Linked DNA regions of Drosophila melanogaster. The protein of the gene in region 1 interacts with the protein of each later gene in a pairwise test. Each region holds a gene or a part of one and is shown in the gene's direction. Other genes may lie near its edges.

Evidence for each region. The genes of interacting proteins can lie anywhere in the genome.
Region 2: the proteins of ACOX1 (region 1) and CG6800 interact in a two-hybrid assay, tested with the Drosophila melanogaster proteins (one large-scale study listed by BioGRID).

What each region holds. Positions count from the first base shown.
Region 1 is NT_033778.4:17,755,408-17,765,041, forward strand, and holds ACOX1 (acyl-CoA oxidase 1), read left to right. Parts: upstream 1-5,532; 5' UTR 5,533-5,858; coding exon 5,859-5,982; intron 5,983-6,721; coding exon 6,722-6,881; intron 6,882-6,935; coding exon 6,936-7,228; intron 7,229-7,285; coding exon 7,286-7,581; intron 7,582-7,640; coding exon 7,641-8,257; intron 8,258-8,322; coding exon 8,323-8,428; intron 8,429-8,491; coding exon 8,492-8,644; intron 8,645-8,703; coding exon 8,704-8,964; 3' UTR 8,965-9,134; downstream 9,135-9,634. Other genes in the region: Sardh (sarcosine dehydrogenase), read right to left, coding at 1-971; HLH54F, read left to right, coding at 2,168-2,243, 2,680-3,029, 4,629-4,931; OstDelta (oligosaccharide transferase delta subunit), read right to left, coding at 9,274-9,634. UniProt on the Drosophila melanogaster protein: Catalyzes the desaturation of acyl-CoAs to 2-trans-enoyl-CoAs. First enzyme of the fatty acid beta-oxidation pathway.
Region 2 is NT_033777.3:21,773,053-21,780,019, forward strand, and holds CG6800 (uncharacterized protein), read left to right. Parts: upstream 1-3,085; coding exon 3,086-3,286; intron 3,287-3,339; coding exon 3,340-3,724; intron 3,725-3,786; coding exon 3,787-3,937; intron 3,938-3,989; coding exon 3,990-4,161; downstream 4,162-6,967. Other genes in the region: GABA-B-R2 (metabotropic GABA-B receptor subtype 2), read right to left, coding at 1-21, 84-447, 508-803, 859-1,077, 1,133-1,313, 1,375-1,856, 2,033-2,281; Polr1H (RNA polymerase I subunit H), read right to left, coding at 4,237-4,261, 4,326-4,545, 4,597-4,714; tsl (torso-like), read right to left, coding at 5,300-6,151, 6,500-6,709.

The sequences.
Region 1 (9,634 bases):
AACACCGACCAATCCAGTTCGTAGAGTCCGAAATGGAAGTCCTTGGGCACGGGCTCCAGCAGAATGGGATTCGGTTCATAGCCACCCATGCAGATGGCATCCCCTTGGATGCGGAAGTAGGTGGAGTAATCGTGATCTCTGATATTGGGTAGACCTCTAACACCCGGAATGGATTCAGAAACAATATAAGCATGCTTCATGGGCACAAGGGGAAGATGGGTGCCGTGCCGGGCCACCAAATCACGACCCCACACTCCTGTAGCATTCACTACCTTCTCAGCTTTGATGTCCCCGAAAGGCGTGGAAACACCCACCACCTTCTTACCCCTCGCAGTCTGCTCCAGCAGTAGATCATCCACTCCGCAATTCTCGATTACCTGTGCTCCGAGATTAGTGGCTGCCTTTTTGAGGGCCGCACACAGCATCGCCGGATCCATGACACCATCACCCGGAGAATAGAGAGCGCCCACAAATGCCGACGGATCGAGGAGGGGAAATAACTTTTGGGTGTCCTCCGGACTCAGCACTTGGTTTTCAATACCCAAAGCTGAGCCCACAGTGGCCAGTCTGCGATACTCGTCCAGTCGCGTTTCATTGTGAGCAATGAAGATGCCACCATTTTGAATCCATCCCGGATCCAGCTCCGTTTCCTCCTCCAATTGCTGCAGCATGCGACGTGAATTAGCCAGCAGCTGAATATCCACATCGTTGGGACGCAGGCGCCACAGCAATCCAGCCGTGTGCCAGGTGGTTCCGGCCGTAAGTTGGGCGCGTTCCAGGAGCACGGCCTTGACACCACGTCGTGCCAGGTGATACAGTGTGTGACAGCCCGCCGAACCACCGCCAATAACCACAACATCTGCTGCGCCTGGCAGGAATCCACTTGGTTCCCTTCGAGCTCCTCCATCTTCCCTCACTTGTTTGCTGATTCCACGGCGCGAAGCTTGCTGCAGGATGCGATGGCGCCACATCTCAAAAACGGCCGAGCGCGACGACTTTAGAATCTCAACTGAATTCTCGAGTTAAAAACACAATACCGCCATAATAATCTCCCGCTGAATTGATCGGATAACCCATGGTTCAGCATCCTGATAAACCTGCTGTGCCAGTGACGTTCCATCCATGACTGGAGGCCCTAATCAAGGCCACGTTTTAGGGTCACAGCACGTTTCTTATCTGGGTTCGGAGGCGTGGCAAGTAGTAAAATTAGTTAGCAGCTACGTAGGTCAAAAAACAATTTAATCTGAGCAAATTTTTAGTTTCAATAAAGATGCGGTTTAACAGATGCTTCTTGCTAATATGTTGTGGTTTCAATTAATCCATTCATATAAATAGATTTATTAAACTCTTGCTTTTCTTTTAAAAGCACTTAAAGAAAACGTAAATTCTATAGATTAAACAAAGTGTTGCCTACATATATGTACATATATTTTCGAGTATTTTCATTTCCCGCAGAAAATTTGAAAAGTCAAAATCGTTCTCGGAACTTAAAACTCCCCACATAAGCAATGAAATTTTGGACCCATACTCAAATGCCAACCATCGCGGCGACCCCAAACAGGATACGCAGTTGAACCCCAGGATTATAATCTCTTCCGATCTGCCATTAATGCCTATCTCCAAATGCACTGCGAGATCGAATACCAGGTGGTGCCATCTGGAGCCGGAGTCTTGGCACGCTTCGCACTCGCCCGTCGCACATCCTTACGGCACAACATCCCCACTCCAACGCCCGTAGTGAACCGGATAAACCGAGCGTTTCATTTTGAATTTTCCCGCAGACCGACGGAGGAACACTGTGTGGCCAATGTGGTGGCAGCCAGAAGGCAAACAACCGAGAAAGAGACCGCCGATCGCACCATGTGTCCGGATTCCTCCGCCAATTGGGACTGTTTGCGGAGCAGGCACGCCCACCAGAGGTGCCAGAAATAGACGGAATCTGGAGAGCTGCAAACTGCGGAGCAGAATGCTCAAAAAGGAGGATCTCCCCGTAACCCGTGACAGAAGTGCTCTACGTGCCACGCAGATCGGACGTATTCGACTCACAGATTGGTTTCGGTTCGGTGCGTTTCGATTTTAAGTGAGAAAACTGAGTGATTGGAATTTTATATCCAATTTGAAAATATTCGAAGTGATTCTTGTGATACCACCAACTTGTTTTTGAACAATGCCACGCAAGAAGCGCAGTTCCAGCCCCACGGAGTTCTTTGATGACGACTTCGATGAGGATGCCAGTTCTCAAAGTGAGTTCGATTTCAATTTATAGGTGATTTTGTACTTATATTAAAAAGATGTATTATAAACGCTTAAAAACGTTGACAATGTAAATATGTTTAGCTAGTTTTGTAAATTTATTATTTACTTTAAAGTAAAATTCAATTTCCTTAGAATTTTTTAAATCGAACTTTAGAATTTACCTTAAAAGGAATGTTAATTTAAAATGCGTTAAGCTCTAAATGAAAATATAATAATAATGATAAAAATTATAATAACAGAAAGCACAATAGATATAAATTGAGTTTAAAATTCATACTCCATATGCTTTTTGAACTTCATACTTTGCGAAGATATCTATAATGTAACTTAAAACTTTTGTGGATACCAATAAAACCTTTTGTTTCTAATTAATCTCTTGTTATTGGAGCTCCTTAAGATGTATCTACATTTCTGATTTTCCAGGCTCCCAACCGCCGGTGCAGCGAAATGCGGCAAATGCCCGGGAGCGGATGCGTATGCGGGTTTTATCCAGCGCCTACGGACGTTTGAAGACCAAGCTGCCCAACATTCCGCCGGACACGAAGCTCTCCAAGTTGGACACGTTGCGTTTGGCCACGCTCTACATCAAGCAGCTAATTACGGCTGTGGAGACAGGCAGCCACTCGCAGAACCACCCGCACAACCACAACCAGCACCACAGCCTCAACCACAGTCACTCGAGTACCACCAGTTCCGAAGGCCTGGACACAAGTCACATGGCAGATTCGTCCGGTGGAGGCAATTATAATTTCCACAACAACGGACACGGCATGGTAAGTGTCATGCAATTGCGATCCCCCTGCCCGAATATAAGTGATGTCACTGCCACCACTTAACGATGCACTGCACCCGCGGCTCGGGGGAACGGGAACGCATTAATGAGCCGGCCACTTCAGGTGGATCTCGTCAGTTAATGACAGGTGTCGCAGGGGATGCCCAGTGATATGCCCAAGATCAATGTTTATTCATGGATTTCAGTCTAATTGAGAAGTAATGTTCAGCCGATCGGGATTCCCATAAGTTTATGTCTTTTTATGGAAAGTTTGGTATTGGGAATGAAAATTTTTCTTTTATGCGTTTTCTTTGAAAAGCCATTAAGGAAATAAAGTAGGTAGATATTTGTAAATTTTGCTAGTTGAAATTAGCCTTTCGTAGAATTTTAACTTAGAGATCGTGGAAAGTTACACGGAAACCCAGGCTTCAGTGTTTAAAATTTAAAAAATTGATACTATTACAATTTAAACGTATACGCAATCTATTATTCTCATTTTTTTTTTAACAAGCAACTTAAGTATTTAGTAATACTACTCAACTTATAGGGGTAATTCAACGCAATTTTAGCGAAATATAGATCAAAAATCCAAAGGAATGTGGTGCAACATCTGCTTGGTGATGCGGACGCGATGCGGCGACAAGTATTTCCACCTTTTCTAGATGTGGAGGTGAACCACAAACGTAACCACATCCACATCCCATGACCGGAGTCAGCCATTCAGCCGGGCCCCCCACTAGAACACCGAAATCACATTTTGTGATTTCAGACTGCCTTGCTTTCCTGTAATCCGATACTTTTGTGAATTTCGAAAATATTAAATATGAGTGACAGGCTGTTGGTGGAGCGGGCAGGGAACGGAGATGGTAACGCAGACCTGCGGATCTGGATGGGGGGCACTAGTTAGTCTTTGCTTTTATTTTTTATTTTTAAAGATGCTCTTGATGCTTTGAAGCGACACAGTGAATGACATGCGAGGGAAAGTGTCATCCTCAGTAGTTTTCCCACTCGGATTATTGTAATTAAAATTTGTCTAACCGTGTTTATCCATCAGCCATTCCCGCTGGAGTTTACACAATCTATCACTCAAGATTCATGGCGTGCACAACTTATCTAAATAGATGCAATTGTTTACACACCGAATGCGTGAAAAATTCAGCAAATACGGCTCCGTCTTGTGCCCATATGGTGGCAAATCAGATCGGATCGGAGAGTCCCGACCCTATCCGAATTTATACCATCCACGCGCCCAAGATGATCTGTTGGGAACAACCCATTGGTTCGCTATTTGCTCGCTAGCCCTAGCATCCCTATATCCCATTTCCAATCCCTCATTGTATGGCATACAAATGAGTGTCTCTTGTCCGCAAGTGTTTGGCTGTTTATGTTTTTATAGATCCGTTAATGAGGCTGTTATTGTAGATCTAGACGTGGAGGCGGGGGTGGGCACTAAAAACAATCAAAGTTGCGTAAACAAACAATGGCGCTGTCTCGGGATGGGTTGTCGTCATATTGTTCCATATATAGCCCCTGCGGTTTCCACAACTCCTATGATTTATGCCTGTTTTATCCACACATTCCACATTATACTGTCTTGCAGAGCTGGCCCTTTGAGTTCCACCAGAGTAGCCGGAGTTTGGCATTTGCCCCATCATCATCAACCACCTCATCCGCCCGTATGGATTGGCAAACCCTGCATACGCAATCTTATCCGAAGACTACGCGAGGCGAAACCCATGTTTCGGCGGATCTAAGTTACCATCAGTTGCCGGAATCTCACAGTCACTGGTATCCGGCGGAAGTGCATCAAATGGAGCCAGCGGCCAGCTGTTCCTATGACTCTGGAATGGGGCAGCATCAGCGGGGCATAGCTATAGCCACTAGCCATGCCCATGGCATTTAAGCGGATATTATAAATAATGTTCTGACCTAAGCCAAATGAATTTACCACCTAGTAAGTGTATTAAATCGTGATTTAATTTTACGTGTTTCCGTATGTGCAAGCCTGAACCTATGCTATAAGGCCAAAGATTGGTGTTACCTCATGATCATTTAGCTAGCAAATATATCTATGTTTTTAATAAAATTGGAATTTTTGAATTTTTTTGAATTGGCGCCAAGATTATGGTGACTGTATCCCTGGAGTTGTCGAGTGCTGCCGTACTTGTTTGTATTTTGCAGCCCTGTTCAACAGCTGATTTCGTCACAATACAAACAAAGAGCTGCTAAAAACAAAATTAATCTATTAATTAAGGCGGAATTCAAATACCCTACTTTTTTTAAAACGGCTAATTTGAGACATTTTAAAGATGTTATTTATGCAGAAAGATGTAGTGAATTTGCATTATTCACTTGCAAACAAATTATACGAACAAAGAAGCTTATGAAAGCAATCTTATTTAAATTAGAAACAAACTGAAAGAAAACGCCCAAGTACTTTTTACATGCAGTGTATTTATTTTGTGTATTTACTCATAAATGTAGCCCAACAACAATGGCGTGAGAATAATGGTTGTGCTACAGACTATTTCAACACAAAAGCGAACTTATTACATGTGTATTTTCGCGGTTAAAGTTCACGTCGTTCGAGAGCTGGCATCGATGATTAGATTCGGAATAGCTGGATCAGATCAGCAGTCCATAATCTCAATCTCCTCCACTGGATTTCCTCCACCAGCACTTGAGTGACCGACTGACTGACCACTGAGCGCAATTCGCCTTTCCAGCAACAATCAGTCAGTACGCGATATTCAACGAAGACGGACGCTTTGCGGTGGCTCGTTAATCCATAACCTGTTTACGTGACTTGAATACTGTGCCGCATAGCAAAATGCCAGCCAAACCAGTGAATCCCGATCTCCAGAAGGAACGCAGCACGGCCACCTTCAATCCCCGGGAGTTCTCCGTTCTGTGGGCCGGCGGCGAGGAGCGATTCAAGGAGAAGAAGGCCCTGGGTGAGTTAGCTTAGAAGGGAAAAACACCGGATTTCAAGCTTCTCCGGTGACCCCGACAGACCTACATGTACATTCACATTAACCGGTCGCTCAGAGCTTTATCTGAGCTTGGCGCAATCGCGTTTCCCAACAGTGGATGCAAGAAATTGTGCCAAAAGCATGACTTGGCAATTAAGCTAGGCTTTAACGCATTTATAGCTAATCTGTAGGGTACAAACTCTGATGCTAGCCATGTCAGCCACTGATAAATTATCCAAAACATCCTGTCAACTTCTTTGTTTTGATACGCTTCTTCTCCGTCCATTCATTCATGCGATTTGTTGATTTTGCTGCACGCCGTGGCCCAAAGTTCATTAATTATGTATTCCGCATAAACAAGCCGCTACTAGTTAATCAGCACCTATTAGCCAGCTCATAAGTTATTAATCTTTGAACTTCGCGCGAATCGCGATCAATCCGACTACTTGTGTACTTTGAATGTTTGCAGCTACCCACCATCTATTTCCAGGTCCACTTGAAATTAGTTTAGCTGATAGGTTTATCTGACAGATTTGCACGGTCGCTCAGGGCATCATAAATGGACAATGCCCAGTAACTCCCGCGAATTAACGAAGAATACTTTCCACTCATGATTACGCTGCAAAATTCAACAATGCTTATCTAAATGACACCTCCTAAAATATTAAATCCCTTTCCTTATGGCTTCATTTACATTAAATTTCGTTTATGATTTTTCCAGAGAAATTGTTTTTGGAGGATCCAGCCCTTCAGGACGACTTGCCCATTTCCTATTTGTCACACAAGGAGCTCTATGAGCACAGCTTGCGCAAAGCCTGCATCATAGGAGAGAAGATCCGCAAGCTACGTGCTGATGGCGAGGATGGAGTGGATACTTACAAGTAAAGAAATCCTTATATTTAATGTACTTCAGGTTGTAATTTGTGTGCTTATAGTGCTCTGCTTGGTGGATCCTTGGGATCGGCTATTCTAAAGGAGGGCAATCCGCTTGCGCTGCACTACGTGATGTTCGTGCCCACCATCATGGGCCAGGGAACGATGGATCAGCAGGTGGAATGGCTGAGCAAGGCCTGGGACTGTGAAATCATTGGCACCTATGCCCAAACGGAACTGGGACACGGAACCTTCCTGCGCGGTCTGGAGACCAGGGCTGACTACGATGCCAGCACCCAGGAGTTTGTTATAAACACTCCATCACTCAGTGCATACAAGTGGTGGCCCGGTGGATGTGAGTTTTCTTGAACACTTAATATTTTGAAATTGTTATAAAATCTGGGACTTGCAGTGGGACACACTGCTAACCATGCGGTTGTGGTGGCACAACTCTACACCAAGGGCGAGTTCCGTGGTCTGGCTCCTTTTATTGTCCAATTGAGGGATTCCGATACTCACCGTCCCATGCCCGGCATCGACATTGGAGATATTGGTACCAAGCTGGGCATGAAGGGTGTCAACAATGGCTATTTGGGACTGAAGAACGTACGGGTGCCTTTAAACAACATGCTGATGAAGAACCAGCAAGTGCTGCCCGATGGCACATATGTGGCGCCGAAGAATAGCGTGCTTACCTACGGAACTATGGTACTATTACACATATTCACTATATCTTCACAGAGATTTTAACCATTTTTTCATTCAAGATGTTTGTGCGTTGTGCTCTTATCCGTGATACCGCTCAGAGCCTGGCAAAGGCATCCACTATTGCCACTAGGTATTCAGCTGTTCGCCGACAGAGTCCCATTGATCCCAATCAACCGGAGCCCCAAATCATGGACCATACCACGCAGCAGTTGAAGTTGTTCCCCCAGATAGCTAAAGCCATCGTTTTCAAAACGACGGGTGATGGCATCTGGAATATGTACAACGTGATATCTGGCGAGATTGAGCAGGGTAACTTGGATCGCCTGCCCGAAATGCATGCATTGTCCTGCTGCCTTAAGGCCATCTGTAGTGCCGATGCCGCCGCCGGCGTGGAAACGTGTCGTCTGTCATGTGGCGGACATGGCTACATGGACTGCTCCAACTTCCCCACGATATACGGCATGACCACGGCCGTTTGCACCTATGAGGGCGAGAACACAGTGATGCTGCTGCAGACTGCTCGCTATTTGGTGAAGGTTTATGGGCAGGCCTTGAATGGAGAGAAGCTGGTGCCAACGGTTTCGTACATCAGTGATGCAATAAACCAAACCAAGTTTGTTAACTTTGACGGATCATTGAGGTCTATTGTCAAGGCTTTCCAATTCGTTGCCGCCAAGTAAGTATTTACTAAAGAAAAAAAGGTAGAAGTACCAAGTATTTAAATTCATATTTTTATATCAGCAAAACCCGAATTGCCTATGAGCAGATTGAACTGCGCCGCAAGCAAGGTTATGGTACCGAGGTGGCAGCTAATCTATGTGGCACCTTCCTAACAGCAGCTGCAGATGTAAGTCGTAATGAAATATCTGTTATTCACTCAGTATCCTATATAATTTTGTACCACTTGTAGCTTCATGGACGCGCCTTCCTAGCGCAGACTGCCTATACGGAGCTTTTGGCCTTGTCGCGCGAGGTGTCCCCAGAACTAGCTGAAGTCCTAAAGGTGGTGCTGGAGCTGTATCTGGTAGACGCCTGCCTCAACCGCATTGGCGACTTCTTGCGGGTACGATTTTAAATTGATATTAGTTAAGAATATTTAATGTTATATGTAACTTTCAACAGTTCATTGATCTCACTGATCAAGATGTCACGAAACTGGAGGTTCGCCTGGAGAACTGCTTAAAACGATTCCGGCCGAATGCCGTCAGCTTGGTGGACAGCTTTGATCTTCACGATCGCGTGCTAGATTCCGCATTGGGTGCCTATGATGGAAATGTTTACGAACACATCTTCGAGTCTACGAAGAAGAACCCGTTGAACAAGGAGCCAGTCAACGGAGCATTCCACAAGTACTTGAAGCCATTCATGAAGGCTCACCTCTAGATTCATATCCTATTGCTCTGGAAGATTTTCACAAGTGTTATTATTGTAAATATACATTTGTTTCCATTGTTTTTGTATTATACAACTGTCTGCTTAGCAAATGGTCTTTAAGACAATTATGATGTCAGGGCTTGTGCAGTTGAAACTAGGCTGTAAAATTATACACAAATAAAATATTCAACTATATTTAAAGGCAGTATTTAGTGTGTGTTTGGGCTTAACTAAATCGCTTTATTAAAGTTTGTTTTCTGATGGTGTTGCAAGATAGAGAGTAGCTCACTTATTGACTTCGTACAATGATGAACGCACTTACGACGCACTTGCCTTCGAGTTACGTTGTGCGTAAAGACGTCTCAGTAATCGGTTGCCAGCCAGGAATGTGAATACTGCGATGGGAATCAGCAGGCGCAGTGTCTGGAACATGTTAAGCTGCAGCCAGAACACGAAGAACAGCACCAGAATGCCACCGAAACCCAGATGAAACCCGATCGTACTCGGTGCCAGCGTCAGGTTAGATACATTGATGCCCAGTTTTCCCCAAAAAACGAAAAGCAGCACAAGCGGGGTTATGCACAGTCCGGTGAAGATATCAGAAACAATGCGGGGCGGGCGCTTATCGGGCACTCGGAACTGATGGATGATTTCGGGCAGGGGACCAGAAGTGTTCTTA
Region 2 (6,967 bases), on another chromosome or scaffold:
ATCATCAATATTCTCGTGATGCTGTAGTTAATAATAATCATTTTAGATTTTTCACTTCAAATATGTTCTATCAATGCACTCACCAAGGGTTCCAACTGTTTAGTTTCGCGGTAAAAGGGATCGGCAATCTGCCAGGTGGTTATAATGGCTATATCAATGGCCAAAAGCACGCCCACAACCATAAACAATTGATAGTCCTTGATCACCTTCTTATTGAGCTTCAGATCGGTGAATATCGAATGCACCCGCCACGTCTTCGAGAACATGGCTCCAAAACTGAGACTGAATCCAGCCATCAAGATCCAGGCTCGAGCTGTGCAGATATAGGGAAAAGCTGCCACACTACTTAATGTGGTATCGAGACCCAGGAAAATGATGCTCAAATAGGTCATCATACAGCCCACAATGATCAGATTGTTCAAATGGGGACTGGACATCTTGATGTATCTATAAAAACATCAATATTTTATTAAACGAAATTGTTTAATATAGCATTGTTAAGCTCACCTTTGATTGCGATACTTAATGTTAAAGGCCAGAAAAACTGTGGCAATAATCACTCCAATGACCGAAGCACTAGCCGATACAATATATATGGTTGGATTGACCTGACTGTGCTCGATGTAGATCAAAGTGCGATCCTTGGGAGGAGTTTTCCCCACCCATTTGACTGGTTTTCCCAAGCTTAAATCCAAGTGTGACTTCTGTGAGTGGTATTCCCCGATCTTTTCCATTTGTCCCAGCTGAAACTGATTGATCAGGATGTTGGCCTTGCGCTCGTTGTTGTAGAAACGCACGGGTCCCTTGAGAATGTAAAATATGTTTTAACTGCAAAAACTGGATTGTTTATCTATCTACCGTCACACCCTCGAAGGATGTATTACGTAGAGCCTCAAGGAAGACACTCTCCCAGTCCTTCACGCGATAATCAAAATGTGTTAGCAGATCCTCTCGCTTTTCGGCCACATACTGAATGGCCAGGGCAGCTGCCCAGATACCATCGTAGGTATAGCCATGAAAGCGGGAATATTCAGTGCCTCGCAGTCTGTCGTACTCCACAAGATACTCATCAGCAGTCTAGTAAAATATGAAATTTATTACAAGAATTTTAATAGACTTTACTGGTACTAACAATGCCAGCCACTGTGATGTCACCACTGGTGGACAAGGGCAAAAGATCCACTAGAATGGCACCTTCCAAGGCTGTAGCGATCTCCTCCACACTGCACTCGCTGTCCTGCGTGACATTCCACCAATCCGTGGAATAGGTAGCCATGATCAGCCATTGATAGGCTCTGCCATACATATCCAATCTGGAAGGGAGTTTATTGCAATAATTTTAAATTGAGACTTAAGTTAGTATATCCAACTCACTTATAAGCCTCACAGAATGCCTTGCGTGCAAAGTGCTCGTTAAAGTTGCCCAGAATGATCCTCACGTCCTTCTCGCGCAGTTTCTTCAATGATTCAGCCACATCGTTGACGAAGCTCTGCGTTTCCACCACCTCGACCTCCATGGCATCCAGGTCAGCCACCATGTGATTGTGGGGCAGCGAATAGCGTGGCTCATTCTGGTAGACAGTGCCCACTCTGGTCCAATTGAACTCCTTCAGCAAGGCCAGTCGCGGCGCATTAAAGGCATTCTCCGAGGGTACCACGCGAAAGAAATTCGGAAACGCATCCTTGGTGAACATGGGATGGGTGTCCGCGTAGCTGAGCTGGGTGAGGTGCCAGTGCTTGCTGGCCTTGGCTATGGGATCGGTCACATGGGTGCACGCAGCGCCGAAGAGCATCACTTTATTGGGACCCGAATGCATCATATCGAAGAAGGACTTTACGCCCACAGCAGCATTGCACTGGAAAGGAAACCAAAATTACATTCCAGAATATATGGAAATATGCATAGGTAAAGGTGTGATATTACAATATGAACCAATGAACATTAAAAAAAATACCTAATTGAACTTTAAAAACCACAAGTCCATCATCAGAGATTCACTTAATGAAATCTTCAAGCTAAACCCTAACTCACCTGAGTGTCGTTCCACCACATGTGCAGCCTGTAGTTGGCCAGTATCTTTCCATGCTCATTAACGTGACCCAAGGCGAGCTTTACACTGGGCATAACGCCCCGACCGGTGTAGGAGTTTTCCACGCCATCCCCGTACGGGAAGAATCCCGCTATGTAGACGTCCGATCTCTTGGCTGTCCTGCCACAGGCGGTGCTCCAAAGGAGCAGGAACAGCAGGCTGGCGAATGGAAACCAACTTGGCCGGAACATGTTGACCGCGTGGGCTGTAAAACGATTCTAAATGTGAATAGCGCATATCGAGGACGTGAACTTGGAGCCAAGTTGTGGGTGGTGAATGGCAGTGGTTGGTTTCGGGTGAGCCAAGGCTGCCGAGGCAAGGCTGCGCCCAGTGGGTGTGTATTATTTTCTACGTTCTACCTGTGTTTGCTGGCACTCGCATGCAATTTTACAGGACAGGTGGAGCAAGGCTAAGGCCAGTCCAGGCCAGCAAAATTGCTTCAAATTGCTGCAGCAATGCTGGCACGTTTAGTAATTATAAAGCAATTTAATGATCTAAAGGATTCGTGCATTATTTAGTATGCTCGTTAACGCGAAGGAGTATCTTCCAGGTGTTGCATCCTCTTAAATCTTATGTGTACATGTTTTTAGGAACCTACCAGCTTGCTTAGTCCCAGAACTGGCTTTTATTTCACTACCGATGCCATTTGAAACACTTATTTTACATCAAATCTCAGCCAACGAAGAACTTTTGCAGTGCGAGGGTCCGAAAAATTATGTATCCCCCTGACTTGACATTTGTCTGACAGGAGGAATTCGAGGCAGGAAGTGCGCATGTCCTTAAACCGAAAGCTGTCACTGCTCCGCCTTGGCCTAGGCTTTCCAACCCCCGTAATTACCATAAACCCACTGCGCTTGTAAACATCCTGCAACAGGTGGTCCCATCAGCTGGTACTCCGGCAATTGTTGTGCCCGTTGCCATGGACTACTGGGGTCGAAAAACGAAGTAGATAACTGCTCGGAAAATTACCAAATTGAAAATTGTGAGTAACCATAATGGAGGACTATGCGCCCAGCCGCTATAAAATGCTTGAGAAAATCGGCGAAGGCGTCCATGGCTGCGTGTTTAAGGCCATCGATCTGCAGCGCAACAAGGAGGTGGCCATCAAGAAGGTGGCCCTTAAGAACAAGTTCGGAAACATAGCCCTAAATACTTTGAGGGAAATCAAGACCCTGCAGCTTTGCAAGTCTGAATATGTAGGTATACCATATATCTATTTTCCATTTGTTAATTATGTAACTAATTGTAGATTCTGGACATCATTGATATATATCCTGACCTAACTGGTCTCTCCTTGGTGCTGGAATACCAGCCGGACACTCTGTACAACCGCCTCAAGAGCGAGGTTAATCCCCTGAGCCGCCAGCAGGTGCGTAAGTTTGCACACCAAATGTTCAAGGGGATTGCATATCTGCATGAAGCGGGTCTCATGCACCGGGATATTAAACCCGCCAATCTGCTTATCAGCGATACAGATATGCTTAAGATTGCCGATTTCGGACTGGCCCGTCTGTACTTCCCTGAAGACGAGTCGCGCCTTTATTCGCCTCAGGTCTCAACCCGGTGGTATCGAGCGCCAGAGATTCTATTTGGCAGCCAGAAGTATGGAACCGGAGTGGATATGTGGGCGGCAGGTTAGCCATGACTCTTTGATGGGTTTACATATATCCTTATGGCTGACATTATTGCTATCCAGGTTGTGTTGTGGCGGAGATGCTACGCGGAGTGCCCCTGTTTGCGGGAACCACCGACATCGAGCAATTAGCCATCATCATTCGCACTCTGGGCAGCCCACGTCTGAATCAGTGGCCAGAGCTGACTTCTCTGCCGGATTACAGCAAGATACGGTAGGCATTCTTACCGTCTATGATTACTTAATCCGTAATATTCTTGACGTAGGTTTCCCAACTCCGTGGGCATTCACTGGGACAACTTGTTTCCCAGCTGCACACATGCGGTGGAAATCAATCTGGTCTCGAATCTGGTGGTCTACAATCCCAAAAACCGACTCAAGGCCAGCGAGGTGGGTTCTGCTTCAAGTTTGACACCGGTTAGGTATTATAATTGGTAAATTCTATATTTCTCAGGCCGTCGAGCATGATTATTTTCATTAATCTAGGACTATTTACACGGACATTGCTAGCAACTAAGAGTTTTCGGATTCTTTGAATCTGCAAGGTAGAATGTGTGTGATTAGTTGTGGAAGTGAAGGAATATGTTTATCAGGACACCTACTTGCACTTAAGGCAGGTAAAGAACACCGTCTGGCCTTCGTCCGCCGATCGAAGCTGCAGGGTGGCATAGGACATCTTGTCGTGGTTGCACTTGGGACACTTCCTCTCCACAACGGGGCCATCCGCGTCCGATTCCGACTCCCTTTTCGTCCTGTTGAACACCTTGCTGGGATCGTAGGTGTTGAAGTGTATGGTAAACTCGGACTTCTCGCCGCTGTAAACTATTTTTAAGTGTTAAATAAATTAAACAAAGTTGTAATTTCTGGATTTACCATCTGGCTGAAACTCCTTCTTGCAGTTGTAGCAAATCACATTGCCCTTGACTTGAAGCTCGGGCAGAATGGAGCCGCAGGAGGGGCAAAAGCCCGGACAATTGGAAAAAATATCCATGCCAGTATATATCACCCAAAATCAAAATCAAAATACAAAAACCGCACGTGCTATTTCGGATTTCAGTATGAGCGTAACTGAACCGTTTGAAATATACCACACGGTATTAAAAATATACTTGATTCATATACTAAATACGTAAGGGTGGAAAACTAGAATAAGTCTGGTTGAAAGCCTTGATGAAACGGGTAGAGCCGTTTACCCGTTTCGATTACCGGTTCTTAATCAAAATCAATTATTCAAAATAAACTTTCAAAATAGTATTTGATATTCATAGCCAATATTACGTAATGAAAACAGTTAGATTTTAATAGCCAATATCAAGTTATGAAAACAGTAAGATTTTTACTTTTATCTTTACTTTGTATTAAAGTTTACAAAACTATTACATCAATAAGGCGATCTTACGGTCTAGTTAGCTGAAATGCAAGTCGGATGTGTACTGTGTTCCAATTAAACTACCTAAAACTATCACAGGCAGAACATTAACTACGCACTAGAGGTTCCTAACTACAACTAAGCATCTAGGAACTATTGATCCTTGGCTGCCACATATCGCACAGTATATATATATTTAAAATGCAGCTATCGGGTGGGATGACTCTGCGGCATGTTAAGCTCCCAGAGCTTCACATTGTTGTCGAGAACCTCGTGGTACCAGCTCTCCTTTTCCGGCTCCTCCCGGAAGATGGGCTTCAGCGACTTGAGGTCCAACTGCAGTATGGCATCGTTGCCGAGCAGCGAGTCCAGGGATCGCAGTAGAGTACTATTACCGTGCAGTTTCAGCAGGGTCACATACTTGACCACATAGTACTCGTACTGCAGCTTCCTTCTCGCCCATCTTTCCACTGTAGCATTGGCACTAGCCGATCGAATCTGGCCCAGATGGGCGGCAAACCAGGGCGCAAAGTAGTTGTAAAGATCCAACTTGGACAGTCCGTTCAGACCTTTACTCTTGATTCGCTCCTTGATCATGCTGTAGTTCTTCCTGCTGTACACAAACACCTGATACAGCGAATTGCCGGTGGTGTATGAGTTTACGTAGTGGGTGCCCACATCTTCCATAAATCGCACTGCGGAAGTTATATTTCCGATTTGCAGTTGATCCATTCTCGATCGCACATCCGGCTCCAAGGGTTGGTGCACCGGAATCTCAGCGTTAAGACGCCCCGTTTCCCTGAAGCGCACCACCCTCACCAAAACATACGAGTAATCGCCTTGGATGAAAGATGTATTGATGCCCAGCTTCTTGGCCGCATTATCCGGAAACCATCCGCCAGTAAATGCCTCCCACGGTTTGTCCATTCGCTCAATGGAAAAGTCACGGAAGTAGGCCTGGAACAGTTGCCTCCGATTCTCGCAGAACTCCATGTGAAAGTCTCCATGAAAGATTCCGGGCGTGGTGTCTTCATGACTCTCCGCCAGGCCACTCAGATTCTGAAAGAAAAAAATCATTAATTATCTAATTGTCTAGTCAGCTCAATTATCAGGTAATAAATATCAAGTGACATACTTGAATAATCGTATATAATGATCGTTTTCCTAAATCTGATCAAACAAATATAATAAGCGCTCATTCTAACGACAAACGTGGCGGAAGTGAACAATATAATTACAACTAAAAATAGTTTTAAGTGATAACAACTTTAAACCCTATTTTAAAATTTTGATTATACTCCAAATAATTATGGTGATTGTGGTTAAAGGTTAATACAAACAATTCCGAGTTCATCAACGCCATTTAATTTATTAAATGTAAGCTTAACTCTGCCTTAAGTCCCTTACCCTATAGATGTTTTTGGTGGGCTCCTTAAACACCCAGCGATCCGGCTCCGAGTTGTCATTGAGCGGTATCACACGCATGGAGATTCCCAGGTAGCCATAGCGCAGGAATATATTGATGGCCTTGCCGATCCGGAGCTGGGACTCGCGACGACCTCCATCCGCCAGGAGCGCCAGGGTCAGCAGCCAGAAAAGGCCAGGCCACGACCGCATCGCTCAGCATTCAAGGTTAGATCTATAGAGGATTATAATAGAAATATTATATTGCAAATTTAAAGCGATTACACTTGAATTAGGCAAACGTTTCCATATTCCATATCCATATAATCCCTTGCTATAAAATATTATTGATTGAAACAAACGCAACCTATTCCGATCTCTTATAAAATTCGCAATTTAACAATAATGAGGCATATCTATCCCACAATAATTTATTCAAGTGACTAGATAACTCTTGATTGCAATGTGCAT